Linked DNA regions of Mus musculus: regions 2, 3 and 4 are each reported to be linked to region 1. The links are microRNA targets in miRTarBase. Many come from high-throughput screens and were not tested one by one. Region 1 holds a microRNA gene; each other region holds the end of a gene's coding sequence.
What was found. The annotated mature microRNA mmu-miR-3971 reads CUCCCCACCCCUGUACCAGUGA and lies in region 1 at 2,805-2,826, shown strand. An mRNA with a match to its seed (bases 2 to 7 or 8) in the 3' UTR can be bound and repressed. Matches are read on the target gene's strand: a 7mer-m8 pairs with bases 2 to 8, a 7mer-A1 pairs with bases 2 to 7 and ends in A, and an 8mer does both.

Region 2: the mRNA of Golga2 is a reported target of mmu-miR-3971. Seed matches in the 3' UTR shown: 7mer-A1 at 6,448-6,454.
Region 3: miRTarBase lists Ilvbl as a target of mmu-miR-3971. Seed matches in the 3' UTR shown: 8mer at 475-482 and 8mer at 490-497.
Region 4: the mRNA of Egr2 is a reported target of mmu-miR-3971. Seed matches in the 3' UTR shown: 7mer-m8 at 5,336-5,342.

The regions. Positions count from the first base shown.
Region 1 is chr11:75,548,676-75,555,790 of GRCm38, forward strand. Mir3971 (microRNA 3971) reads left to right here and starts at 2,754; the gene lies at 2,754-2,836. The region is part of intron 5 of Slc43a2 (solute carrier family 43, member 2); the gene reads left to right.
Region 2 is chr2:32,306,080-32,313,194 of GRCm38, reverse strand. It overlaps Golga2 (golgi autoantigen, golgin subfamily a, 2), which reads right to left. Exons shown (of 26, transcript NM_001080968.2): 24 at 7,112-7,115; 25 at 6,879-7,035; 26 at 5,282-6,789. The coding sequence ends at 6,575. Dnm1 (dynamin 1) reads left to right here. Exons shown (of 23, transcript NM_001301737.1): 20 at 270-511; 21 at 853-1,068; 22 at 2,708-2,744; 23 at 4,131-4,724. The coding sequence ends at 2,729. Among named protein-coding and RNA genes, the nearest start is that of Gm23363, 8.6 kb to the left of the region's middle.
Region 3 is chr10:78,583,882-78,590,996 of GRCm38, forward strand. It overlaps Ilvbl (ilvB (bacterial acetolactate synthase)-like), which reads left to right. Exons shown (of 15, transcript NM_001359302.1): 14 at 1-102; 15 at 189-621. The coding sequence ends at 367. It overlaps Syde1 (synapse defective 1, Rho GTPase, homolog 1 (C. elegans)), which reads right to left. Exons shown (of 8, transcript NM_027875.1): 2 at 6,021-6,362; 3 at 5,220-5,864; 4 at 4,826-5,040; 5 at 3,450-3,576; 6 at 3,078-3,238; 7 at 2,209-2,434; 8 at 622-2,030. The coding sequence ends at 1,621. Among named protein-coding and RNA genes, the nearest start is that of Syde1, 4.5 kb to the right of the region's middle.
Region 4 is chr10:67,539,671-67,546,785 of GRCm38, reverse strand. It overlaps Egr2 (early growth response 2), which reads right to left. Exons shown (of 4, transcript NM_001373983.1): 4 at 4,598-7,041. The coding sequence ends at 5,798. Ado (2-aminoethanethiol (cysteamine) dioxygenase) reads left to right here. Exons shown (of 1, transcript NM_001005419.2): 1 at 1-2,275. Among named protein-coding and RNA genes, the nearest start is that of Ado, 5.7 kb to the left of the region's middle.

The DNA.
Region 1 (7,115 bases):
GGCGTGTGCCACCACTGCCCGGCGGGAATGAACTTTTTTTATTAAATACCTTTTTATACAGTGAGCCCTCTTGCTGGTCCTCTTCTGTCTTATTTATTTTTTTGTTTTTTTAAAGTCTCACTAATGTTGCCATGGCTGGCCTGGCATTTGCTGAGTAGACCAGGGTAGTTCCAAATTCACAGAGTCTGTTCCTGCTTCCTAGGTGCTGGGGCTAAAGGGGTGTTTAAATGTTTCATCCTTTAAAAATTAGGCGGTTTGACACCATAAAAAATGATACATCATAAACTTTTTCTTTTCTAATAAGACATCCATTCTCTTACCTCTTTTATATTGTTATAAGCCCTGCCTGCTTTTGAACTTACCATTTTGCCCAGGCTGGCCTTCCCTCCTGACCCTCCTGCTTTCCCCTCTCAAGAGCTCAGATTACAGATGTATTCCCTGTCCCTGGCCACTGTCATCAGTGTGTCTTTTTATTGAATTGCTTCTTTGTATTGCTTCATTTATCTCATTTTCCTTCATATTGCTTTTTCCTCTTCATACTTTGTAAAACTATCTTTGAAATACAAATAATCTCTCTGTAGGAGTAAAGGGTTTATCTAGGGCCTTGAGATTTCTGTATGGTCCATGAACATGCTCCAGAAAAAATATGCACTCAGACAAGCAACCAGTGTACATACACGTTCTGTTCAGGGGCATTGTGGAATGTCGGTTGCTTTCAGCGTCATCGTGTGTGTGTGTGTGTGTGTGTGTGTGTGTGTGTGTGTGTGTGTGCGCGCGCGCGCGCGCTAGTTGGTACACAGGCACTGTGTAATGCATTTGATAGGAGGGGATCCACCCTTGTAAGGGAGGTATAGGGCTTGTCCTCTGACGTCTTTATCTTGGACCTATATTTTGGGGGTCAATGAGTTGCCACCCCAGGCCAACTCCAAACGTCTGCCTGTTTTTTATAAACAAGGTTTTGCCTGAACTACAACGTGCCAGCTTGCTCATGTGTTGTCTGTGAATGTGCTCCTGCCACAGGGGCTCTTGGGCTGTCATGACAGAGACCATATGGCCCACAAAGACAGAAATGTTTACCGTCTGGCCCTTCATGGAAAAACATTTGCCAACTTTGTGTCTAGAGGCCCCAAGACACTACACTGCTCTCCACCTGAGGACAGAGGGTCAGTACCTCCCGCAGACACTCCCACCCCCAAGTTGTACAGGTTAGGTCTCTAAGCACTTTTAAAGTCACCTTCTTCACCCCTCCCCCAGCTGGAGGAGCTCCCTGGACATTCCTTTGTCCCGTGAGCCTTCTCACGGGACCTGAGAGCTCATGAGAGTCAACCCTGAGAGGGAACAGGAAATGGGTCACCGAGGACAGACTGAGGCTCTTAGGCAATGTCCCTGGGCTGCTGATGCTTTCTGCTGAGCAGAGCTGAATCTCATTCTGACACAGCACGGGCCTTTAAAAAAGTAGAGCCCTCAGGACCAGCTCGCAGACACACAGGCTGGCAGTGCAGTGGCACTTTCTTTCTGTTTGTGACTCCCGTCCATGTTTTCATTTTGGAGACAAAAGAGTTTTCAAGGTTGCCTTTAGAACTCCCTAAATCAAATCCATAAGGACTTTTAAACAGAATGGCTCTGTGATAACCTGGGAATGTCGGGGAATGTGTTGTCAGGGAAACCTTCAATTGGGGACTTTCTCAGGCCCGAGGGCTTTGTATGGCATGGACTGTGGGCTGGTACACTCATTGGTGGAGAAGGGGCCCCAAGTTGGCAAGATGCCTTTTCCTCACAATCCAGAAGGAGGTGTCCCATAGCTTCCCCCACCTCTCACCTCCCACCCTCCCCCCTCACAGAGCCTTGGGAGTCTACACTCTGTCCTCCTCACTATAGTCCTTTCCTCCAGTGTGGAGGTTCCAAGGCTATCCAACTGTCATGGCTGTTTAGCTCAGGTCTCTTGCAGCACTGGGCCTGGGGATCCCAGAGGGAGGAACACGGCAATCCACTGGTGCAAGCACACACCGGTGCTGGAGAGCCTTAGCCTGCCCTGGACATCTGGTCAGCACACTCTGGTCTGTTTGCTCAATGTCTCTAGTTTGTACAGCCCTTTAGTTCGCTCCGTCAGCTGAAGCACAAACATCGGCCAGCGGCTGAGGTGGCGTCTTTGGGCCGACACCCCACAATCCAGGGCCTGGGTTGCTTAGAGATGGGAACAGATGCAGCCAAAATTGTGAACATATCTTTTCCACTTCATTACCCTGACCCTTGTCAGTGTGGGCGGGATGGGGAGTTCTGGTCTGAAACTCTTATGGAAGAGTGGTTACAAAATGTTCAGGGGGAAAAATCTCTCTGTGGGCTTTCCCTATTTTATTCATTGGAGTTTGGCTTTAAACATGAGGAATAAATGACCTCAGGGGAATTAGATTGCTGTGAGTAAGGACCCGAGGGACAGGTGTGGAAGCAAATAGCCCCCTGTGAGCGGATGTGAGGCCAGCAGCCATCCTGCGAAGTCCTATTCTACCAAGTAGAATTTCATCTGCCTCCCTACCTGGAGAGCCTAGGTACCAGGCAGGTAAAACTCTCCCGGTATCAGAGCAGAGCCCACTTAGCCTCTGATTCCCATCCATATCTTGGGAAGCCAAAGCAGTCAGTGGATGGCCATCAGCCTGGGGGATATTGGCCATTTTTTCAGAGGGCTTCTACGTGATAAATTTGCTGCACATGACATGTGCAGAGGTTGACAGGAGGCAGTGGGGGTGTCGCCAGGGATCTGGGCTTGGCAGGTGGAATGGGAGGTGGCAGGGAGAAGGCAGTTTTCCCTCCCCACCCCTGTACCAGTGAAGCGGAAAGGTGACCGCATGGGCCCATGATATGTGCTGAGGGCTGCCTGCTTGTTTCAGTTAGGGAATGGCTCAGCTTTACTGAGTCCACTTGTCCAGACTAGTTCCTGGGTAGGTAGTCTGAACAAGAGAGATGGACTGGATCCTGGCCTATGCAGACTTTTCTGAACTCGGGGTGTATATAACAGGCAGCTGAGGACAAAGCTTATCTCCTTGAAAGGACCACAGACCTAGAATGTCACCCACTGCTTGGCTCTGTGACTTCATTAGAGAGTCAGAGAGTACCCTCATGGTGAATGGATTCAGGAGGCCTTAGATATGAAAAAAGGACTGACATTCATCCTGTCTTTGCCTCTCCTGGGGGTTCCTGTGAAAAGACGCACACATCTTTGGATATCTTAGGGTCCCTAAGGAAGATGGTCTAAACTGTTTTTGGCCATGGCCTCTGGGGATTCTTGTCCAGTGGCCTGAACTCCAGGGGAGGGGCTGCCTGCAGCTGCTGTTTTCCCCTCTGGGAATGTGACACAGCTGGGCCTGTTTATGGTACAGCTGAGGGACTGAGGGAGAGTGAGTCATCTGGGCGAGGGAAGGCCTACCATGAGGCCCAGGAGCTCAGGCACAGAGGACAGGTTTTACTTAGCAGAGTGGAGGCAGCAAAGTGGCTGCGAGAAGAAACCAGGAGCTGGGAGAGGGGCTTAGGCTGCCTCCCCGTGTGTGCCTGGGAGTCAGGAGGCAACCTCTGCGGAGCGGAGCGGATCGTTCCCCCTGGCACCTGTCCCCGCAGCATGGCTCCAGCTTCCTATTTGGCAGCAGAGCTGGTTTTCCCCTCCAGCAGGCCCTCGAGGCCTCACTAAGGCAGTCAGCTTAACACTCAGACAGCACTAACTACATCACCACCATCTCAGCACCATTACATCTGACAGGGCTGGGCAGGGGCAGGAGGATAGAAGACAGAATAAGCAAGGAGAGACAAGACTAGTGAGAGAGGGGACCCAGCTCGGGAAGACAGACACAGGGCAAGTTCGTATACAAGCACACATCCCTGTGCGGAATGGTCCTGGATCACAGGTGTCAGCTGAAGGCAGAATTGAACAGAGGCTGGTAGATCTAAGAGAAGCATGTGAAGGGATAGAAGAATCCACAGTGAGCGGAATCAGACAGGATGCTCAATAAAGAATACCCGAGGAAAGAGACAACATTTGAGGGGAAGTGACTTGAGATCCAAACAGCAAGAGTTTCGAATCCTAAGATTGACCTTGCCCAGCTTGAGGGAGTCTTTTGACCCTTAAATGTTTTGTGTAACTCAGGCTGGCAGGGGTGACCATGAATTTCTGATCCTTCCTCCCTCCACCTCGGGAGGGGAGGGCTGGATTACAGGTACGCACCACATGCCTGGTTTAGACTCTGAAAGTTTTGTAAGTGGTGAATGGGCAAGGAACAGTTGCTTTCAGGATTTTAAAGATATAGAAAGCAGGTGCTAAAAATAGTTGCTATTAGTATACATGCTCTTTACTGGGAAGGAAATCTGACCACACTGCTCCCGAGCCAACCCGTGAGGGAAATCTCCTGCAGGCAGGCCGGCCTCCGGCTTTGGAAAGAGGAGAAGGACCCCGCCTGAGGGAGAGAACACAATTAGTGTTACCACTTAGGTACGAGTAACCAATACCACCAGGAAACTTTCCCTGCCTTTCTGAGTCTTACCCTCTCCTGAGCCCTCTGACTATTGCTGGGATGTTTATGTTTTGGGTTTCCTTAGTCAAGGTCAGCCTCAGGCTCCTTGCTGAGCAGTTTTGTCCAGTATAAGCCCTGGTAGCCCTCAAGCCAAAACAGGCGTGGACTATCTTGCCCTCTCTCTTTCCCACAGTTTTTGAAACAGAGTTAAATTATTTTAACACAGACTGGCCTCATGCTTCTAATTCTCCTCCTGTCATTTCATAAGTGCTAGGACTACAGAAATGTGCCACTGTACCCAGCTTCATTACCTATTTGAAATATGTCTTTTTGTTTTTTTGGTTTTTCGAGACAGGGTTTCTCTGTATAGTCCTGGCTGTCCTGGAACTCACTTTGTAGACCAGGCTGGCCTTGAGCTCAGAAATCCTTAAAAAAAAATTAAGAGCAGGGTGGTGGTGGAGCATGACTTTAGTCCCAGCACTTGAGATCAGCCTGGTGTACAGAGCAAGTTCCAGGACACCCAGGGCTACACAAAAACTCTGTCTCAAAAACAAAATTATACATTAAGAGGAAATTAGATGACAAAGAAAAACATACTTATATGTGGTCATACAGAATGCCTGACTTTTATTTTTAATATATTTTTACTAATTTTTTTAGTTTGGTATACAAAATAGTAGGTCTTATTAGGACATGCTCATATGCACATGTAACTGTGCCTCCTCTGGCTTTCCTCCTCATGTCCTTCCTCCTCAAAAACCCCTTCCAGTGCTACAGACTAAACCTAGGACCTCACACGGTATGCGAGGATTCTACCACTGAGCCGACTCTCAGACCACAACTGTCTTTACGAGTGAATCTTTGTAGAAGGCTTAATTCGTCTTTTTTCCACCCTCCATCATCTAGATTACTTTGAATTAATTATCAGTAATTAATTCTATCCATATATGCAACTAAAGTGTGTGGTACTGAGTGCGGATGTGGGCTCTAGCATATGCCAGGCAAGTATGCTTTGAAGCAAGAGTGTTGGTGGAGTGGCTAGTGTTGAAGGTGCACACACTGTTGGTGGGGTATCAGCTGGCACATCTCTCCTGTAAGACAGTTTGTCGGAGTATGGTAAATCCTAGAAAGTGCATTCCTTTCCCTTAGCAATTCTTGCTTTGCTGCGGGGATTTTCCTTGAGATGGCAGACACCTAACCTCCCCTTCATCCTGAAGACTCGTCACTGAGCTGTGGGAGGCGGTTTCATGCTCCAGATCTAGCTGCTTTAGGAGGCTGAGGCACGAAGACCGTGAGTTCAAGGCCAGCACAGCTAATTTTTTTCTGTTTTTCTGAGACAGGGTTTCTCTGTGTAGCCCTGGCTGTCCTGGAACTCACTCTGTAGACCAGGCTGGCCTCGAACTCAGAAATCTGCCTGCCTCTGCCTCCCAAGTGCTGGGATTAATGGAGTGCACCACCACCGCCCAGCCCAACAGCTAATATTGTAAGACCTTGTTTTCTAAGACAAATTAGTCAGGTCTGGCAGTACAGGGCCTGTAGTCCTAGTGACTTGGGAAATTGGGGTTGAAAGATCTCTAAGTTAAAAAAGCCTACCTAGGCTGCAGAGTGAGTTCGAGGCCAGCTGGGACAAATCAGTGAGACCCTGGTTTAAAAGGAGAAGGCAGGCTGTAGCTGTACCTCTGTGGTAAAGCACTTGCCAAACCTGTGCACAGCCTTGCGTTACAGTTCTAGTACTGAGCCCCATACCCCACGACTGAAATCATTTTATGAATAAATACAAAAAGACTTAGGGTCTAAAACCAGAGACCTGGTTTCCTAAATTATAGACCATCCAGGTAAGCAAATAGTAGGCAGTCATTTCAGATTGTGTCAGGAAGGAAGAGGAAACTGTTTAGAAAACACTTTATAATAATATATCAGGTTAGAAGGGAAAAGGTGACGCATGCCTGTAACCCTAGTTCTTAGGAGGTAGTGGAAGAGTTATCTCTCCAGCCCCTAATAGCAAGTTTGAAGCTAACCTGGGCTACGTGAGACCCTATCTTAAAGATAAAAGCAGGGCTGGTGAGATGGCTCAGTGGGTAAGAGCACCCGATTGCTTTTCCAAAGGTCCAGAGTTCAAATCCCAGCAACCACATGGTGGTGGCTCACAACCATCTGTAACGAGATCTGACACCCTCTTCTGGTGTGTCTGAAGACAGCTACAGTGTACTTACATGTAATAAATAAATCTTAAAAAAAAAAAAACAGTGTGGAGGGGCTGGAGCGATGGCTCGGTGGTTAAGAGCTCTGGCTGCTCCTCTAGACGTCCTAGTTTGATCCCCAGCACCCACATGGCAGCTCACAACATCTGTAACTCCATTCTCAGGGATCCAACACCTTCTGACCTCCTTAGGTTCCTACACACATAGACATACTTGCAGGCAGAGCACCCATACACATAGAATAAAATAAAATACTAACCATGTGGTAGTGCATGCCTTTAATCCCAGCACTGGAGTGGCAGAGGCAGGCAGATCTACATGAGTTCAGGGCTAGGGCTGCTATACAGAGAAAACCCTACCTTGAAGGAAAAAAAAAAAATGAAGAGGAAAAAAAAGGTTAGTTGGATACAGTGTTCAG
Region 2 (7,115 bases), not on the chromosome of region 1:
GTCCTAGTGACAGGCTATATTCTGAGTTTCCTCCCGGATCTGAAGCCTAGGGCAGGTGACTTCCCTATCCCGCTGTGTATTCTTGTCTGAGAAAAGGACATTAAGATGGGATTTGAAGAGACCTGCGAATTTAGGCATCAAGCAGAAGTAGCCATCTGAAATACCAAACCCCAGCTCCCAGTTCTGTACCCAGATCCAGCAGGTCTGGCCTGCGACAAGGTGGCAGGGTCTTCGGGTTCTAGCTTCCTTCCTTCCTTCTCTGTGCACAGACCAAGGAGTTTATCTTCTCTGAGCTGCTGGCCAACCTGTACTCTTGCGGGGACCAGAACACACTGATGGAAGAATCGGCCGAGCAGGCTCAGCGGCGCGACGAGATGCTGCGCATGTACCACGCACTGAAGGAGGCGCTCAGTATTATCGGCGACATCAACACGACCACCGTCAGCACGCCCATGCCCCCGCCCGTGGACGACTCCTGGCTGCAGGTGCAGAGCGTACCGGCCGGACGCAGGTACCAGGGCCGGCCCCCACGGCCCCAAAGCCCCCCAACCCGGGGCCCGCGGGAGGAGGGCCGGGACCAGGCAGTGGCGCGCCGGGGTCTCGGGGGCTCCCACCTGGAGCGAGGGGAGGAGCTTAGAAGAGGGCGGGGCTTATTGCGGGGCGGGGCTTGCCAAGAGCGCTGGCTGCAGGGTGGGTGGCGCCGCTGGGGATCCGGCTTAGGCTCCCACGCTAAGGCCGCTGTGGGCGGGGCTTGCTGCATGGGCGGGGACAGCCTGGGCTGAGGGCGGGGTCTCTGTTGGGGCGGAGCCGCTCATCTCTGCTCCGCGCTTCTTCTGCTCTTGTCGCCGGTAGATCGCCCACGTCCAGCCCCACGCCGCAGCGCCGAGCCCCCGCCGTGCCCCCAGCCCGGCCCGGATCGCGGGGCCCTGCTCCTGGGCCTCCGCCTGCTGGATCCGCCCTGGGGGGGGCGCCCCCCGTGCCCTCCAGGCCGGGGGCTTCCCCTGACCCCTTTGGCCCCCCTCCCCAGGTGCCCTCGCGCCCCAACCGCGCCCCGCCTGGGGTCCCCAGGTGAGTAGGGGCTTAAAGCCCCGGGAAAGGCCGCCAGGCGGGCGTAACCCGGAGGGAGGTAGAGTCGGATAGATCCTCGGCCTAGCAGCAGAAGCGACCCTCTCCATCTTAGGCGTTGGGGTCGTAATGCAAGGCCAAGGGACCTGCGGCCACGGGCAGGCGGTCCTGCCCCGCAGGGGGCGCTGAGTCCCGGAGGTGGTCGTTTCTGGGAAGGGGGCTCTGGGGCTCAAACCACTTGCCCCCTTCTTTTCAGCACTTGCATGGCGCTTCCCTCTTTTTTTCATTTTCTCTCTGTGGCTCCCACACTTTGCATTTCTTAAACCCTTGCCTTCCATCCTCCTCCATTCCACTCTTCACTGACCCGGCCCAGCTCCTGGTGAGCCTAACTCAGGTCTAGGTTTCTGAACCGTGTGGTTTTCTTCAGTTACATTCAGAGCTACCTTGATGCCCCACTTTCCCCAGCTCTGACTCTTTTGAGCTGTCCCAGAATGCTGTTCAGCCTCTGGCCCACAGTGTCAGGCCAGGCTGTGACTGTGTGACCAAGCAAGGTGTGATGATGTGTATGTGGGCGTGCACACGGGTGTGAATGTGAGATCGGCACCCAGGTGCGGACTAGGATAGAAAGCAGCTGGGGATGGGATCTAGGAATGGTGAACAGTCTGGTGGTCTGAAACCAGATGGTGGGTAGGGACAAGGATCAAAGACTACCCTGCTGCTAGAGATCTCCAGGAAAAAGGAATATACTTCATCCCTTGGCTTTGCCTTCTTTATCCATGACTGGCCTTCCAGGAAGCTCACTCTAGTAACCAACTCAGTCTGCCCTGTTTCTGCTGACTGTGGCTGGTCTCTGAGAAAGAACACATGATCTGATAGACCAAAAGCATCTATCTGGGAATCTAGATGACTGAAGGACAGAGCTAGGGGCCTAGCCCCCATACACTAAACGAGGCAGGGATGGGCTTACTCTGTGGGACTCTAATGTCTGGAACAGTTAAGACAGGACTGGGAGTCCAGAAATGCTGGTTCACTTCCCTTAGGCAAGTCATTTTCCCTCTCAGGGCTTTAGTTTCCTTCTAAATACATGTGTGTCCCCTGACATTTCCCCAGGGGAGTGTGAGATTGACAGAGACAGTGGGCTGCTTTACTAATGGTCAATGGTAGGGTGGGGTAGGTTGGAGATTTGTAGAGACTCAATGATATAGGGAGCCATGGAAGGTTCTTGAGCAAAGAAATGACAGCTGGATCCTAAAGTGCAAGCCCTGTCCTTTACGGAGCCCTATGGTAACCCTGTCAGCACACCAGGCCTGGATGTGCAGGGAGCTGGTGCAAAGGCCTTCTCTGTGCAGGCGAGCTTCTGTGTTGTGACAGCTCATGCGTGTGCTTCTGTGTGCTGAGTGGCTGCATGTCCCAGATCCGTGCTGCACGACGTATTGGCCGGCAATGGTGCTGGGCACTGGGAGGTGGGAGGGAGATATATGCGTGTTTGTGGGCATGTGTGTTAACGTGTGCACGCAGGGCCTTAAGGCCTCACAGCATGTGTGTGCACGCCCAGGCGTGTGCGTGTGTGTGTCCCCTAACCCCCAGCCTGGCCCACCTGTGTGTTTGTGAACTGCCCTGTTGATTTCGTGCTGTCTTTCAGAATCACTATCAGTGACCCCTGAGGAGTGTCAGCTACGGTAGGTTATGCTCTCAGCCTGCTGCATGAACAGTGTGTCTACCCCTCCCTCCTCGCTGCACCAGCTCCATGCTGAGGACACCTGGGACCCCTGAGCCAGGCCCCTCCTCCTTCTCCTGCAGCTCTGGACTCCCTCTTCCTGTCCTCTTCCAGCTGGCTCTCTCACTTCCCTTTCCAGTGAGCCTCGGGACTCAGCGCCACTACTCAAGGCCTTCTTGCTTAAACTGAGGGCTCTTGGAACAGGTTTCATGTCCAAGACGGTAGATGTGGGTGCTCCCTGGAGACACCAGACCACTGTTGACAGTGTAGGGACTAAGAACTAGGAGAGGGTGTCTTCAGCCTCTGAAGGGGCCAGAAGCGTTAGGACCCCCTCTTCATACCTACTCTGAACTATGCTGCCAAGATAAGAGCTTTCTCCTTCCAGCCTAGGAGCATGGCGACTAAATTCACCACAGGGCAAGCATGAGAATCGCGCTGGCAAAGCCAGGCTCTGACTGGTGACTTTAGACAACTTAAGAGCCTTTGCCTTTCTGCCAGCGCCTGAGGGCTCGCAGGCAAGGTGAGGATCTCATTCATCCTTGACATTGCACACCTGTAGCTAACAGCCACCTCGTCAGCCCCCGACATAGAGCCAGCCCATCAGCTCCAACATTTGACCTGTTTTCAGAGTGACCTGTGCCTTTTAGCCGAAGGCAATGCATTGTCTACTGACTGGGAAAGTCAACTTGAGTTCTGCCTGGCTGGCCACAGATCTCGGTTACCCTGTCCCAACTCTTCCCCAGCCATTGACGCTCACCCTTCTGCTTTTCCCCAGCAGGAAGGGCCCAGCCTCACCTACGAGACCTGCAGCCCCCCGACCAACGGAGGCTCCCCTCTTAGACTTATAAGTCTGTGGCCGCAGGCATCGGCTGCCTGCCTCCCAGCCTCCCCAGGGTCCCCTCAGAGGACTCCTGACTTTCTGACCACCTGAGGGGCCTCCAGCGCTCCCTCCAGCCATCCCCTTTAGCTTCAATCTCCTGGTTCAAGCACTTCTGGCCTCATGGCTGTTACATGGGACTCCCTGAGGCTTGGGGTGGCCCTGAGCCAGTGAGATGAGAGACAGTGAGCAAAAATGAGGGAGGCCCTGTGGTGCATTGCCTGGGTGGTGTGTGAGAGGCCGTGTGTGTGGCAAGAGAGGGCCACCAGCCTCTACTCAGACTACCTGCTAGTTACGGCCCAGCACCCCATCTTCCCTTTCATTCATCAACTGTGCATCTCTTCCGGGAACCCTGCCCACATCCACACCTGCCTCAGCCCCTGCCTCTGCTGGAGGTGGCTGCTCTTGCCTTACCAGCTCTCCTTCCTTTTCTCTCTTCCGTTCTCTCTCGGCTTTCTCTCCAACTGCCAGCCGATCGGGTCAGGCAAGTCCGTCCCGTCCTGAGAGCCCCAGGCCCCCCTTCGACCTCTAACCAGATCCCTCCTACTCCTCGGAGACCTCCCTTACCAAGCCTGCCTGGACAGCTGTTCTGTGACTTGACAGTGGCTCCCCCGGCCCCAAAGCGTCCTATTCATCATCTGTGACTTAGTCTGTTGTAGTGGTGAGCTGACACATCCAGATGTGATGTTGGTGAAAACTTGTGCCCCTCTGTGGTATTGCTCCTGCGACATTCTATAAATATCTATAAATATACCTATATATACATATATATACATATATATGGCTGACACAGCCTCGCCTGTAGTGTCAGAATCAACCACCATGCTGTCCTTGTGGAGTCTTGTGGTCCAACAAGGGAACGCTGTCATCCTGACAACCCCCCCTCCAGTGTACCACCTCCAGTGAGCCCCCCTGTCCTCCTGGCCTGTGAACAGCCATCCCCTTGGCCATCCCAACCCTGCAGCAAGGGGATGCTGCAGCAGCAGCAGCTGTGCAGTTCTCTGGTAGCCACCAGTCTTGCTGTCTCTTGGCTGAGAATAAAACCCATTTCTGGATCATGGGGAATTGCGTGTACCTCTGCTGGTTTGTATTCTCTGGGGCTGAGAGGACGGTGTAAACTGGGCACTGAATGGAGGGTGAGGAAAGGCCCTTGCTAGGGTGCTTGTGAGTTTAGCAGGTCCTCATCCTACGAATCCTGCTTACACCACTAGGGGGCAGTATCATGAGCTCAGCCAGGATGCTGTGAACAGCCTAAAGAACAAAACAGGTCTCTAGTGTGGACAGACTAAGGGGAAGGGTCGGAATGTAAGAGGCCTGGCCTGGAAGTCAGCGCCCTTAGTTGCTGCACCCCGAGTCCCACCTATGTATACTATATGTCAGGCTTGACTCTCTTACTCAGTAAGGAAGCTCTGTCCCTGTAGCCCCATGGTACTCCCCCTGGGGTCCCTAGGCTTCAATAGGCAGTGTATAGGTGATAGGTGTCAATCAGCCCTGCCAGGCACTTCAGACCTTGGGCTCCATACAGGCCAGAAGCCTGCTCTCTCCAGGCAGGACACATTCCCTGCTCAGTGCCAGCCTGAGGCTAACCCCAGAACCAATGACGAACACCCTAGGCCCAGCAGTATGGCTAAATCCATTTATTTCCCAAGTAAAAAGCAAAATAAAGAGGAGCTGCATCAGCAGGTGCCACAACCTTGTCTCCGCCTCCTGCCCTCTGACCTAACACTACCAATAAATAAGGTTCCCAGCCCAAAGTGATTATTAGAAGCTCTTCCCATTTGCCAGCTCCAACCTCCACTATGATACAGGGGTGTCCCTACCCCGGTATATACAAAATAGTACACAGGTACAATATGTACACCGGGGGAGGGGAAGGCCACCCTGCCCCAGCAGCCTCTGTCCTGCTTGGCGTAGTTACCCCAATTGTCATAAGGCCTGAGAGAATGGTACCCACTTTCCCTGTCCCAAAGTGCCTCAAAAAGATGGAAGCCCTCCAAAGTGGGATGCCTTCCTGAGGCAGTTAGCCCCAACTGCCTGAGGACCCATGAAGTGCTGCCCAGCCCCACTGCCCTAAAGTGCCTCTGAGAAGATGGGAGTTGATCTGGGGACCTGCTGTGCCCTGGGTTCCATCCCCAGCATCACCACACAAAGGAAAAAGGCAGGGAGTGCTGGGGGTAAATCACTTGGTAGAGTGCCTGCTTAGCACTGCCAACCACCAGGCACAGCGGTGAGGCAGGGGCTCAGCTCGGGCTACAGGAGACACTCCGTAAAGAAAATGAAGATAAAATGGGGGCGGGGAGGAAAAGGAGGATAGGGAGGACTGAGCCGGTGAAAACTTAGAAGCCCTGCTGAATGCTAGGCCAGTTTACCAGCCTGCACTGCACCTGGGCACGAGAATGCTGCCACTCTGTTCTGCCCCAGAGTCCTGAGTAAGGCCTGAGGCCCTCCTTGGTGAGAAAGCCCCCAGGCCACCCAGCACAGTCTGCTCCATCACTGAGTCTCTGGCGTTCTTTCTGTAACAGGAATTTACAAAGTAAAACTGCCCTGGCTAAGAGGCAGATCTGTACCAGTCTGTGTCCCCCATTAAGATAGGAGCCTGATCTTTTGGTTTTTTCAGACAGGGTCGCATGTAGCCCAGTGTGGCCTCAAACTCACTAGGTAGATGAGGATGGCTGATTCTTCCACCTCCACTTCCCAAGCACTCAAATTACAGGTATCAGCCTTTTCAGAGGTACTGGGGACCCAAGGCTGTGTGCACAGCAGGCAAGCACTCTACCAACTGAGCTACTTCCCCAGCCCCTGGAGGGGATGGAGTCTGACCTTATTATTATTATAAAGATAAGGGTGGCTGAGGAAGGGTGTGGGTTGGGGCAGAACCTCTGGCTGCCCTTGCTGAGGCTTTGGCCGCCAGTCTTTTATACAACCATGATCTTCACCTCGTCGTTCTCATCGGCACGGTAGAAAAAGGGGATGCAAGGGTTGCTACCCAGGCCTGGCCGCTCCCGGGGGTTCTGGATCTCACGCAGCAGCTGCATGATCTGCTGTGCAGTAGGGTTCTCATGGGGAGCAGGTACCCCTGCCTCTCCTTGTGCAGGCTCTATATCGTCAGCCAGGCTCACCTCCCTGAGGTCTTTAGAGAAAGGGGGAGGGGGTCATGGCTCTGCACGCCATGGGACTCCTCCCCTTTGTGCCTTCCCAAGAGACAACAGCTCTACTCACCATCCTGCTGGTCAGCAGCACCAAATTCCTGGGAGCCTGTGGGCACTGGGGTGAGCACGTCACCAGGGTTCTGAGAGACGGCCAGGAACTTGCCCTGCCATTCATTGCGCTCGTTCACAAGCCTCAACACCAGCTCCTGGAGCTCCAGCAGCTTCACCTGGAGAAAAAGGAGCTCAACTTGAAGGGCCCAGCCCAGATTAGGCAGGGCCTGGACTACAGAAGTGTAGGCCTACCTTC
Region 3 (7,115 bases), not on the chromosome of region 1:
CAGTGATAGCCTTGGTAGGAAACGATGCAGGTTGGACCCAGATTTCTCGAGAGCAGGTGCCCAGGTTGGGCAGTGATGTAGCCTGTAGCCTGGCTTACACTGGTGAGGTGTCATGGTGTTTTGGGCCCAGCTGGGCTTCTGTTAACTCTCTGGGTGTCTCTGCTATGGCCTGACATATTTTCTTTTAGATTATCACAAGGCAGCCATGGGCCTGGGGGCCCAGGGATTGATACTCTCACGGGACAATAAGGATCAAGTGGTCAAGGTACTTCGTGAAGGCCAGCAGCTGTGCCAGGATGGTCATGCAGTTGTGGTCAACATCCTGATTGGGAGGACAGACTTCCGAGATGGCTCCATTTCTGTATAGGGACTATCCAGGGTTAGTGTGCTTGCCTCTTTGGACCAGGACTTTGTCTACCTGGAGTTTTCATCCTTGCCTGTCCTGAGCTTGTCTCATAAGGTCTAACCCTCTAAGTGGGGAATGTGGGGGTGGGGAACCAAAGCTCAAAGAGGCACCTTGGCAACCCTGGGTAGCTCTTTCCAAAAGGTTCAGCTGTACCCTCTCTCTTACAAAATTAATAAATCTCTTGGCTATATGAGCCCAAGGACTCAGTCACAGAATCTGTGTATACTGGTTTATTTACTGTTCACAAAGATGGAAGTGGTGGAAAGAAGTGGGAGACAGGAAGGGGCCCTAACTCTGTCACCATTGGAAGATTTTGGGGTGCCAGGCAATGGAAAATCCTATCCCACTCTATGGTCCCTGAAAGAGTTCCACATATCCATTCCACACAGGCCAGTGCACACGAATCCTCACACACAGACACACATGCATGGAGGCAATAAATATTTTCCGTACCAAAGATCCCCCAGCCTGATACCTCAGGTGGGGTCCCTCCAAAAGGGGAGGAGTTAAGTGCTCAGTTTTTCAAGGGTGGGGAAGGGCTGCTGGGGAAAGGAAAGGTCTGACTCTGTCTCCATTTGCTGGTTGGAAATTCATCTCGGAGTTTTTGCTAGAAGAGAGGGTTAGGGGAAATCACCTGTTTCTCTCTAAGCTCCAGGCCACCTTTTCACAGGTAGAGGCAGAGTCTGGTGCTGTTTCCCTTAAGTAGAATCCCATGATTGCCTTTAGATACTTCAAGGGAGGGAGAGAGAGTGTAGTGCTCAATGCTAATACTGGTTTGGTTGGCAGCAGCAAGAGGGTTGACTAGGGATGTTTTAACACCCCAGGGTGATGCTCACAGTAATTGGTGTTCCCCTGCAAAGGGGAGGCAAGAGAGGCCAGCCTAGCAAGCAGAACTGTTTCTGGCAGCAAGAGAAGCCCCAATGCTCGGGAGAGGGGCCATGGCATCAGTGCTGAAAATGCCAAGAGCCTGGTTTCTGCAGCTAGGGCCCCAAACAATGGCACTAGGAATTGGGAATGATTTTTTTAGCATGGAAGGCTGGCCCCTTGGCAACTCCCTAGCAACCAGGTGCTCAGTCTGAGCAACTCTGGTCAGGTCCTTTTAGGTCATCAGGGCCTTAGTAACTTGGAACCCAGTCACCAGTAATCAGAACCTGGTCCTTAGCAACCAGGAAGCAATTCCTTAGTAACCAGAGTCCATCCCCTGCTTTGAGGGCTCAGAGGCACACATTGATCTGCTTGGAGAGTTCTCTCTCCAGATCCAGGATGAGGGCATCAAAGTCTTTGAGATTCAGGTGTGGGTTGAAGGGTGCATCAAACTCATCTTCGAAGTCGGTAGTGCCCCTCGGCTCTCCAGTCTCATCATCATCTTCCTCACTGTCGCTGCCTGTCACATGGTCATAGTCAGGCCCGGACAGGAAGTCCCGCCCACAGGGCAGTAAATCGCCTCCGCACACACTCCAGTCGCCTGCATAGCGGTTGCTTGGGGGACTTTCGGGGCCTCCGCGGCCCCGAGGCCGAGTCACCACTTCTGGGCCCGCCAGCGGCAAGTGCAGAGGTGGCTGTCTTTTGGGCCTCAAATACGGTGCGACTGCGCCATCTGGGGTATCTGAGGGCCGTCTGGTATCTGCGGGGTCCAAAAGGAGGATAAGTTGTGATACAAGGGAGTGGTCCCTGATTGGCCTTTTGAGAGGCAAGCTTACAAATTTAACTCACTCATGACCCTCCTTAGATTCCAACCCATGATTGGTCAGTAGGGAAGCATAAATGTGTAAGGGAGGCTGACTGGGATGGGCGGTGTTCACCTGGCCAAGACTGTAACAGGTAATGCAGGACTTCAATGTGGCGCTTGAAGTCCACAGCACTGGTGACTCCTGGGCCAGAGCTACGGAGCCGGGGCCGAGAGGGTGTTTGTCTCGCTGGTAGCAACACTGGTCCGAAGCACACTGCCAAGTTCTGCGGGGTCATGCGGTTGTGGGTGTGGAAGGAAGAGACAAGGCGCAGATGGTCCAGAAGAAGCGTCAGGGTGGCCTGTGGAGAGAGTTGCTAGGGTGGGCACGAGGCGGGCAAACCTGAACCCTTGTGGCACTTGCAGGATAGTCAGGGGTGGCTTAGAGTGGAGGCACTTCAGTTCAAGTTCTCATAGCCAGAGGGGAGGGGTTAGTATTAGGAATGCATTTTGCCAAAGTTGAGATTAAGACCAAAAGCAATTTAGCTTTGGAATGGAAGGGTTTGAACTCCAACCCATGCCGTGTTTGGCAATTTCAAGGACTTTTCTAAGATCTCACAGCCAGTATTTTTGCTTGTGTTAGGTTGGCAGATCTGTTTGCTCAGTTTGCTAGGCAGCCCAGTCTGGCTTGGAAGTGGCTATGTGGCTCAGGCTGGCCTCCAACTAGAAATCCTCTTGCTTTTGACTCTTGAGTGCTAGGAGTAGAGGCGTGTAACACCGTGCCTGGATAGAGCCTGTGTTTGGACAGATCTGGCTGTTTGACCTCAGGCAAATCACCAAACTGAGCCTTGATTTTTTTTTTTTTAACCCAGGAATTGACAGATGAATATCAAGTACTTGTTGGCATTGATGATCATGTATGATGATTACATCTTAGGCATGCTTAAAGCACTACACTGGTATTAGCTGCTCTATGAGCCAAAGTTCCTAGCATGGCCGACTCACCCTCTCCACATCTGGCAGGCATCTGAGGAGCCCTCTGGTGCCCTCAGGACCCAGGGAAGCCCTGCTTGGGTGTCCTTGGGCCATGGCTTCCAGCACCACCTGGTAGAGGGGCTGGGTGATGAGTGGAGTAGGCAGTTCTCGAAGATAATCCTTGAGGATGCCTGTGGACAGAGGGGTTCTCTCTGGTTAAGGTACCCTGGCTTCTGAAGCCAGAGGAGGGGTCACTGGGGCTGACAGTGGTAGTGAGAAGAGGGCAGGTATAAGAAATGAAAATAGGATCAGACAGGAGAGAGGAGGGTTCACAGGAGGCCTCCAGAGCAGCCTGGAGGTGACAACTGAAAGAAGTGAGCAGGCAGTGGAGAAATGGCTGACCTGTGATGACATTGATATCAGGGTACACATCTTCAGAGAGGCACACAGCCGCACTGTCCTGCTCAAAGGCATCTCGAAGCTCTTTCTTCACTGCTGCTGAGCCACACAGACGGTACAGCCCCACTACCTGGGGATAAAGAGAAAGAACGTCTTCCTGGAGGGCCATAAGACAGCAAAGCCTGGATATTTGGACAAGGGTGACTGTGGATGTGATGGCCTGGGAGGGTAGGGCCATTCACATGCATCTTCACTGGCTGCCTTCCCATTGCTGTCACAGGGGCCCTGAGCCAGGCCTAGTACTTCAGCACTCTGAGGCCAAGGCAGGAGGGTCACTTAGGCTATAATATAGTGTGTGTTCAAGGTAAGCCTAGGTAACTTGGTGAAACCCTGTCTCAAAAAATAAAATGAAGGCTGAGGGTGTAGCTCAACAGTAAAGTGCTTGCTGAGCAAGTATGAGGGCCTATGTTCAATCCCCAGCACTAGGAATAAAACAAAACCAGAGACACATAACCTAGCTTTCTAAATTCCCCAAGGTTGGACCACTTGTCTAGAGTCTCTTTCCTCTGACTTCACAGTTCACATCTTCCAGGAAGCCTTCTCACACTAACCCAAGCAAGTCAGGAAGTGAGGGCCCGCTTTAAGCTGTCCTATACCCTCCCCTCCTTACTGCTTCTTTCCTTTCCTTTCCTTTCCTTTCCTTTCCTTTCCTTTCCTTTCCTTTCCTTTCCTTTCCTTTCCTTTCCTTTCCTTTCCTTTCCTTTCCTTTCCTTCTCTCTCTCTCTCCCCTTCCTTCCTTCCTTCCTTCCTTCCTTCCTTCCTTCCTTCCTTCCTTCCTTTCTTTTTTTCGACAGGTGCCACCACACTAGGCTACCTCCTTTCTTTCTTTCTTTCTTTCTTTCTTTCTTTCTTTCTTTCTTTCTTTCTTTCTTTCTTTCTTTCTTTTTTTAGAGGCTAAGGGCATTTTTGCCACTAGCTGGACAACCTGAGTTTGATCCTTAGGACCCACATGATGGAAGGAGAGAACCAACTATTTTATCTCCATATCTGCACTGTGGTGTGGTACACACAGATGCACACATATTCCATACCAAGCAAATAATATGTTTTTAAAAACTAAAGAGAGTTAGTGATAGGCTACCTCCTTTCTTAACTCCCCCTGGCTACCTCCTTTCTTAACCCCCCCTGCCAGCTAGTTTGACATTTATGAAAGTCCAATCATCTTTCTCACTCCAAAGACTGAGCTCCATGAGGGCTAAGCTCTTGTAATAAAAAGGACAGATGATCCGTGGGTCCTGATGCTGGGGAGGGAGTGTTGTTTAAGGGGTTCCAAGGAGTATGTATGTCTAAGGCAGCAGGAGTGGGGGCAGCCAGCTCACCCGCAGCCCTCGGCATTCGATCTGCCCCACACACTTTCGGATGATGAGAGGCACCTGGCCTGGGGACTGCTCACGTTCTACCAGAAGCTGCAGAGGGAGCCCGAAAACACGGGGCTCTGCTGTGGCAGGGGCTTCTTGCTGTTCCGACAATGTTAGCTTGGCGTAAAGAAGTCCCTGGGGTTCAAGTCGAACGGCCAGTTGTTGCGCTTGGCACCCTAAAGATGCAAGGAGGACTGAGGCAATTTTATCCTAAAAGTTTCTGTGTCCTGACTCCCCTCATCTAGAACACCCCTCAATCATGAAGCCCAGCCACCATGGGCACCATGGGAGAACAGGAGGCCCTTAGGTGGGTCTTTGTTTCTTGCTCTTACTTCCTGGAAGTCCCACGTCTTACCTCGAAAGATGGTTGGCAATAGCACAGTGCCCTGGGCACAGGGCCGGTGCCGCCTCACACCAGGGTCCCATGCAAGTACCAAGGCCCGCAGCAGACGAGCAGCCTCCAGCTCTAGGTGGAAGGTGTGGTCCAGCCTCAGGAAGTCTGGTCCGCTTCGAAGTGGCCCTGTGCGGGCCCGAGCTACCCCATCCACTTGGAGAAGGCAGCAGAGATCTCGTGGAGTAGCCCCGGGACTTGGTCGCAGACCCCCTAGCCCATACAGGTGCAGGCTGAGACGCCCCCAGAGGGCAGCTGGAGGAGTCCGGGCCGATGGACCCACTTCATAGGGCCGGAAGGCAGTGGGTGATGGTGGTCCTCCAGGACGCTCAGGCGAATCACCATCGCTGAGGTACCCACCCCTTGGGCTCCTAGACCCTCCAGCCACTGATGCCTGCCCAGGAGTCCCCACACTGCTGTCCAGGTGATAGCGGCTGATGACAGAGCCTGCTGGGGCGGTCCTCTCTCTATCCCGGCCTGTGCGAGTACTTCTTAGGCTTAGGCGGCGCCGGAGCTCTGGCAGCTTTTTCATCTTCATTGAGAGGCGCCTGGCAGGGCCTGGGGACTTGGTACGGGAGGTTTTGGTAGGGGGGCTGGTAGGGGCTGCACCTGTAGGGAGAGCAAACTTCAGAGTCCAGGGCCTGGGATTGGAGTATGAATCTTATGGTCCTTGCGGGGCTGAGGATAATAAGGCTTAGGAACACCTGGAGTATAGGGTTTGAGGCTTGTGCATGCTTGTAGGTGAATATAACACTTTGTGCTTACCTTGGATGTTGGGGCCTTCTGGCTCAGAGGAAGCTAGCTGTGATCCCAAGGGCTCAGGTGCGGGTGGTCTGGGGTCTTCTTCAGGGATGGGGTTGTACCAAATCTCACCAGCAGGCTCCCCACTGCTAGGTGTCCTAGGCCCCAAAGAGATCTCCTCTGGTGGTTTAGCCCCTCCTAGCACCCATCGGCGGCTACTGGGCTCCAGGCTTTGCAGGTAGGCCCCCCGAGTGGGGCTTCGAGGTGTCTCGGGGCTGGGTGGTACCTCTGCTCCAGCCTGAGACCCTTCAAGGACACGAGGTTCTGGTTCTGGGGGTTTGGGCTCTGAGCGCTGGGCTGGGTGGCCTGGTGGAGAATGAAGATGGTAAGACCCAACTCTCAAGTTCCCAGAGGTCCAGGGAGGCAGTCTAGCTAATTGGCTTCAGCCCTCACTTCACATAACCAATCGACAGCAAGGAAGCTCTTTGCTAGCCTGGAGCCACTGCCTCCTTTGGAACCAGCTGTTTTGTTTGGTCCTAGCAGCTAGCTAATACTTTTGCAGTCCTAGCTTCAAGGTCCCCTGCCCTAGCCCCTAGTAATGCAAAAGGGACTGTGAATCAGCCTCAAGAGTCCAGGTCAAATGTCCTTGGAACCTCAGGACATTTCGGCTCTGTCACCCCTCTCCCAGACATTCCATTAATCCTAGAATCTTACGCCTGCCCCTTCTCATTGAGTGGCCTTGAGCAAGGCATTTTTCCTGATGCTCCATGTCTTGTTTATGAGGAGATTCAGTATTATCATATTCTCTTCTCGACCCCCTTCCAGCTTGGAGCTCAGTGTGAGAAGCAACTTTAGACAATAGGATCTGTAGCCCTGCTCAAGGCCCTAGTAGCTGCTGCTGGGAAGGCAGGGCAGGGAACGCTGGTTTCTTTTTCATTCAGCACCCTTTTCCCATTTCCCAAATCCTGCCCACAAGTTCTCTTGGATCTTGCCCCTCAGCCCAAGCCAGATTTCTACAGTCAGTGCCCCGTTACCCCGCCCCCCTTATCTTGGCTCTACTTTCTCTGACATCATGGTCGATTTCCTGTGTGTGTTTATGTGTGGGCACCCGGATCCCTT
Region 4 (7,115 bases), not on the chromosome of region 1:
TAGTACCCTGGGAGGGGCTCTGGAAGTAGGCTGCTGGCTAAGCAGGCAAGAAGCCCTGGGCTCAATCCTCAGTACCACATAAACCAAGTGTAGCACACAGCATTTAGGAAATATAGGCAGGAGGATCAGAAGTCAAGGTCAGACTTGGCTACATAGTGAATTTGAGCGGAACCGTGGATGCATAAGACACCATCATATAAATGTGTGTGTATACATAACATATGAATATGTATATATACACATATACATATGTATGTACACACACACATATGAAATGGATACATGGAATAGATGCTTGAGAATTTAGCCATTTAGGGCACCAAGATTGGAGACTAAACCCTATGCCAACACTGCAGCAAACCCTAGCGCTGCTGCAGTATTATGGCTGGCGGAGGCTCAGCCCCTTTACCATGTTTACAGACGTGTCTATCGATTCTGACCATGGACCACCAGTTTCCCCTGTTTACTATGTGTAGGGTTCCTTTTTATCACAGGCCTTTTCATAAAGACAAACTGTAGAAATCAGATGTGCCCAGCTGTCTTCTAAGCTCTCTTGATGGCTCATGTGGCAATAGAATATACTAATATCGGCAATAAATGGAGACTTACTGTCATGAGTGACAAATGTTTGTTGACCTGGCAGGGAAACAAACTGCTTTTGGCTCCATGTATCCAGGATACACATCCAGGCTGAAGGGGTGTCCTTCCCGGTGCAGTCATTAAAGTGGTACGAGACAGCAAATTATTGCTGGCTTGGCTTGTGGCTTTTTGTTTGTTTGTTTGTTTGTTTCATTTTAATAAAAATGAGAACAACAGGCCAGTGGAAACCTGCTTTAAACCTGACAAACCATGAGCAACACCCAAACACTTCCACCATGGCTGCTAGAGTTCAAGTTCTTTCTGATCATGGTCTTTAAAATGCCTTTGGAGCCTCTCGAAGCAGCTCTTTGAGCCACTCGTATGAACATCTAGATAGGAAGTGATGGTTTTAAATTTGACTATTTTCATAGAATATTAATAATGAATATGGTTTTTCAGCCACATACAGATTTTGAATTGCAGCAAAGGTTGATTCCTTTACAAGGATTGTTGAGAGTCATGTGTACTTTACAGCATACTCTGGAGGTCCTTTCATGGAGCCTGTAGAAGTCTAGCCTGGAATTGGGCTAGTAATAACAATTATTATGAAGGCCTTCATTGCAAAAGAAGGAGGAGAAATATTAAAGGTTTGTTATAAGCAGTTTGGAAGGAAAAAAACCCTAAGGTGCTTTTCAAAAGAGTAACGAAATTGTTCTGAGCTAAAACAGCAATACTGTGTTCCTCATTAGTTCAATAGGAACAGTGAAACTGTCATTTCACTAATAAACTGAGTAAACTTACGGTGAAAACAGTGTAATATGTTTTAATGAGCCACTTGAGAAAGAATATGCTCGTTACTAAGATAAAATGTGCAGAAAAATCCTTGCACGTCTATGCATAAACTATTAGCTATAACTTCTGCCGTTGTGTTTCCCTGTAGGTCTACAATATAGATTGTGGTCTAGAAATTAGGATAAAAGTTACCTTCTCCTTTTCTTAGAAAAGACCAATGAGCACAATGGTGTTAAGTCACTTAACTGTTCTGATGAATAATAAATGCAATAACTAGATCCTGAGTGAGACGCTGTCTGTCTGTCTGTCTAAATACACTGAACCTTTTCAACCTTGTAGTTCTATCAGTGACCAGTTATATCGATGTAAGATTTTCATACCTTCCTACTCCTTTGAGAATTGATGGGTTTACTACCACATGCTGCTGATTACATTAAAAAACAACAACAACAAAAAAAAAACCCTGCCTTTTAGGTAATGTGTTTTCTATGTTAATAGGAGTGAGTTCTCTTGAGTTTTTAACATGACTGTCAAAATGTACACCTTTCCTTCCCCACTCGATCCTTGCATTGTCTTGTAGGTTCCTTGAACTTGACATCTGGGGAGAACCTACCTGCTCTGATGGCAAATGAGTCAACTGCTTTAGCTCTCCTGTCCTGCCCAGCAGAGAGACAGTTACCCCCACTTCGTCACTCTGCCACTCTCCTGACAGCGTTTGCTCCTCTACCGCAGGCCTGAATTCAGAGTGTAGGGTTATACAGAACCCAGATTGGTCCATTGTGCTGAGGTTTCTGCTGTCAAAGGAGATCATTTCTTAACAATACCCAGTCTTACAGTGCAGGGGTGTTTACGTTTCTGAGTAAGATGTGTGTACTTATGGGAAATAAAAGCATGTTTAAAATTACGTAGAAATAATGTTGCTTATTGCAAAGTGGAGAAGGGAAACATAACTATTACTATTTTAATTATTGTTGAAAACTCACAGTTTATTCCATAAGGTTGTATTGTATCAAAAGCCAGTGACCTACAGATCCCCCAAAGACCAAGAAGTGGTATAAACTTAGTTTGTTTTCTTGTGAGTGGTCTTTGAAGCAAGCCGACTGAAAATACATCTGAGAGTATTTACTGTCTAATTACACTATTTTGCTGTAACAGAAAAGGCTGCTTTTGTATTTAATCTAAAGAAACTAGCAAGAAAAACAAAGTCAATTTTTATCCTAAAAGGAAAGAAAATCTTAAGGCTTAAAGTGTTTTCATCTCTTTTTTTTGTCTTAGTAATTCCATGGTTACCATTTGGACTGGCAGCATTTAGGAGTCTATCTACATGCCTCCACACACATGCTGAATTGTTCCAACAGTTGAAAACTTTTATGAAATGATTTGCCTTGGTCTCGTAAACAATTAGGATACGGATATTAAATATCCTGGCTTGAGGAAGTCATTTAGGTTTCATCAGCTGTTTGTTATACAAATGAAACCATCTCTGGCATGAATCTCTTAAGGAATCTCTCTGCACAAAACCTGAAACATTTGGGGGACGCAGGGGAGGGATTAAAAGAACCAAATTTACCATTCTGTGGTGATTTCTTAGGCAAAAATTTTAAATGTCAGGAGAATTGGCCTGAATGCTTTTAAACTGAGAAAGTTGGTTAAAGATATCGGGTATGTAAGTAACTGGGGACAGAAGCAGAAAGGGTAGCTCTGACCATTCAGGTGTACTGAATCTTATGGCTTGTTGGGGAGGTTTGCTACCACACCAGGATGGAACTGATCACATAACCGGTGTGCTTTAGCATGGAGACTTCTTTTTGTCTTGTTCTTTAAGTGATGTTTAGTCTTGCTTTTAAAATCCTGGCTTGGGTGATCTTGATTGAATGTGGTCCAAAATTAAAATTTTAAAGATAGCTAAAAACTACAAAATTTAGGTGTGTACTATCTTTAAATAATGAAAGTTTTGCAGGAGAAAGGTATTTAAAAGTTACCACGATGTGGTGTGGCTTTATAGTTGCCAGTATTGGATAAGTAACAATAATAGTTTTGGTAGTTGACAGCCCGAGTCCAGTGGGAAATTATAAGGAAACCATCCCACACTAAAGGTTTTGAAATTTCTATTTAGGAGTTCTGGAAAGAAGTTTCTATACCCATGAAAGGGGGTTAAAGGAAGGAGACTGGGGAGGGGCACTAGTGGCCTCCATAAATTGAATCTCTTATCCTTGTGCTGTTAAGGGCCAAAGATGTGACCACCACTGTAGAATGCAAGCCCTTGATTAGTAGCCATCAGCCTCAGGGACTTTACAGGGACCAGAAGCAAGGGAGGGGTTTTCTGTTGAGGCTGAGCAGTGTGGCTACACCCGCAGATTACATTGCATAAGGAGCAGTGGACATTATAAATATTGAGGTCCAGATTTTCAGAGTAAAGATGCCAACGCGCATAACACAAGTGGGTAGGTCAGATGGTTTTGAGTTTAAAAGAAAATGATAAAATGTTCCCAGTAAAAAAGAAACCTTAGAGTTTTATAATGTTTTGGGGGAGGCAGCTTACCTAGTAAGTTTAGATTGTCTTGGAGTTTTACAGCCTCGTGTCTACCTATCTTAAGCTATTTTGAGAATCATTTCTAGATCCACCAAGCTTGTGACAAATGATCCCTCCAAACATGGGCAACCATCTGAGACGCCAGGACTGGAGAGAAATGAGTCCTGGGGTAATTGCTGAAGCCGTTTCATTGGCATCAGCTGGCATCAGCGGTGTCCGAGCAGGTTTGATCTGAAGGAATGATAGCTCTTTGAAAAAGTTTCCTGTGGTTGTAAGATTAATCCTGGAACTCAGAAAGTCATTTCTAATTTGACCATGCTGCCACACTTTCCACAAAGCCACAACTCAGAGTTCCAGGCCGTGGTCAGAGTTCTGAAAGCAGCCCTGGGGGGTGTCATCTCTGAGTGGGCACTTGCTTGTAAGTATTTATTTTCCGGAGCCCACTCAGGAGCAGAGAGAAGCTATAGGCTGTTACAGGGGACAGAACAGTGAGTCAGAAGGCTTCCTCACTAACTCAGCGGGAAATCCCTGAAGCCTAGCTAGGTAGGGCTTGTTATCCACAGGCCAGCAAGGGAACATGGAGGGCTTGTGCTAACCCCTCACTAAAGCGGTGTTTGTTCCTAGTTCTCAGATGTCAATAACTATTTTAACTCCACCCAGTAAGTACTTCAGAAATGATCTCTGCAACCAGAATATTGTTGAAAAGTATTTATTTACACCATAGTCAATAAGCCATCCATTATCTGAACTCCAGTTAGTGGTTTTTTTATGTTAGAATAGATTGTTTCTCTCTCCACAACTATTAAGAGCTAATAACCAAACAAATCAGCGGCAGTGACATTGAAGCACATTCTCACCTGAAATTTGGCTACAAAGGTAACACTTTTAAGTCACAAAACAGAGCATACAAAAATATACTTTCTAAAAAAATTCCAAATATTAATAGGCAGAAATATACAGCCATACTTAAACCCAAGGAGTGATTTTTCTGTTCCCATAGTAAGGCATCCTGTACACATGCAGACCCTGTTAACACTGCCCACATCACACAAGGCACAGAGGACACTTGCAACACCACTCACTGCATGCATCCTATGTACGTCCCCCTTTAAATAAGTTAGTTAACCTTTGACTCATTTCAAGAGATCATAAATGCTTTACATTTTTTTCCCGAAGGTTCAGAACTCGGAGAGCAGTGCACATCAAAAATACACAAAATCTAAATGGATATACACTGAAAAAATAATCTTTGTTCCTCAACTACAACAAAAAAAGGAGCCAATATTGCTTTGTCCTGCCCGACATTGCACTTCCATTCTCTTGAGTTTCTAGGACATATTGCTTAAGGGTTGAGATGGCCAGAGAAACCTCCATTCACTGCTCTAGGGCCAGAGTGCAGCAGCCAGGATGAGGCTCTGCTCACTGTACAACTCCCCACCCCCACCCCCAAGTCAGTCCCAAGCCATTAAAGTGCCACATCAGTTTTGCTTTAATTTAGTCTTTTCCGCTGTCCTCGATCAAAGGAATCAGCAACTCCCAACCTATTGTAGAAAAAGTCTCAGAACAACTGGCATCCAGGGTCAACGGAAAGGGCTAGCAGACCATAGTCAGACATCTCTCAGTCAGGGTCAGAGCGCAGCCCTGTAGGCCAGGGGCCCTCACCCAGCCCTCTTTTTGCTCCCCCATTTCTTGGAGTGACAGTCAACTCCCTTCAAATGGCCTAAGTTTTCGGAAGGCCGTCCGTGAGAAGGTGGGACAGAGCTGGGCTCCATCAAGGTCCTTTGCCCAGATCACGGGATCATGGGGAGGAACAGGGAAGGGTGGTAGTGTTGGCAGCTCGGACAGAGGGCCTCTGGGGCCTGGAGAAACTGGTGTGTCAGCCAGAGCTTCATCTCACGGTGTCCTGGTTCGAGAGGTGCAGGAGGCCAGTGGTCCTCCAATGGCGCTGTTACCGCACAGGCTGCCCCCGGCCTGCGAGCCCCCAGGACCAGAGGCTGAAGACTGGGCAGATGGAGGTGCAGAGGGAGCACTGCTCTTCCGTTCCTTCTGCCGAAGGTGGATCTTGGTGTGGCGCTTCCTTTCGTCACTCCTGGCAAACTTGCGGCCACAATAGTCACAGGCAAAGGGCTTCTCCCCGGTGTGGGTTCGGATGTGAGTAGTAAGGTGGTCACTTCGGCTGAAGTTTCGCATGCAGATCCGACACTGGAAGGGCTTGTGGCCCGTGTGGATTCGGATGTGCCTGGTCAGCTCATCAGAGCGTGAGAACCTCCTATCACAACCTTCTGCTGGGCAGGGATAGGGCCTTTCGTGCACTGGCGTTTTGCTGGGCCTGTTAGGGTACTTTCGAGGTCGCAGGATGGGCCGCAATGGCAGGTGGTGCGGATTATAAGGGGTGGCAGTCACTGCTGCAGACCCACTGCCAGGCAGCCGAGGTCCCTCACCACCTCCACTTGCTCCTGGTCCCGTGACTCCAGCACCGGGACCCCCCAGAGTAAAATTACGGATGGTAGAGAGTGGCGTGAGTGGAGGGGGCACTCGCAGGGAGTCCAGAGGACAGGGAAACGGCTTTCGATCTGGGCCAGCAGCACCGTGTGGATCTCTCTGGCACGGAGATGGAAAAAATCCAGGATAGTCTGGGATCATAGGAATGAGACCTGGGTCCATAGCTGGCTTGGGGGATGGGTAGGAAGGAGGTGGCTGGTAGGCCAGAGAGGAGGTGGAAGTGGTGGATGGCGGCGATAAGAATGCTGAAGGATCCTGGTAGAGATCTCCTGTACAGCCCGAATAAGGAGGAGGAGGTGGTGGCGGAGAGTAGAGGTGGTCCAGTTCAGGCTGAGTCTGGGACATGGTACACACACCCAGGGGTCCCGTGGCCAGTGGGTTGGGGGAGGCGGAGGTGACGCTGGAGGAGGCTGTGGTTGAAGCTGGAGGGGTGACCCCTTGCAAGATGCCCGCACTCACAATATTGATGATACCTTCTGGATAGCAGCTGGCACCAGGGTACTGTGGGTCAATGGAGAATTTGCCCATGTAAGTGAAGGTCTGGTTTCTAGGTGCAGAGATGGGAGCGAAGCTACTCGGATACGGGAGATCCAGGGGTCTCTTCTCTCCAGTCATGTCAATGTTGATCATGCCATCTGGGGAGGGAAAAGTCAGGGAAGAGGTGGGACAATGAGAATACAGGCAAGAACTAATTCACATACACGCATGC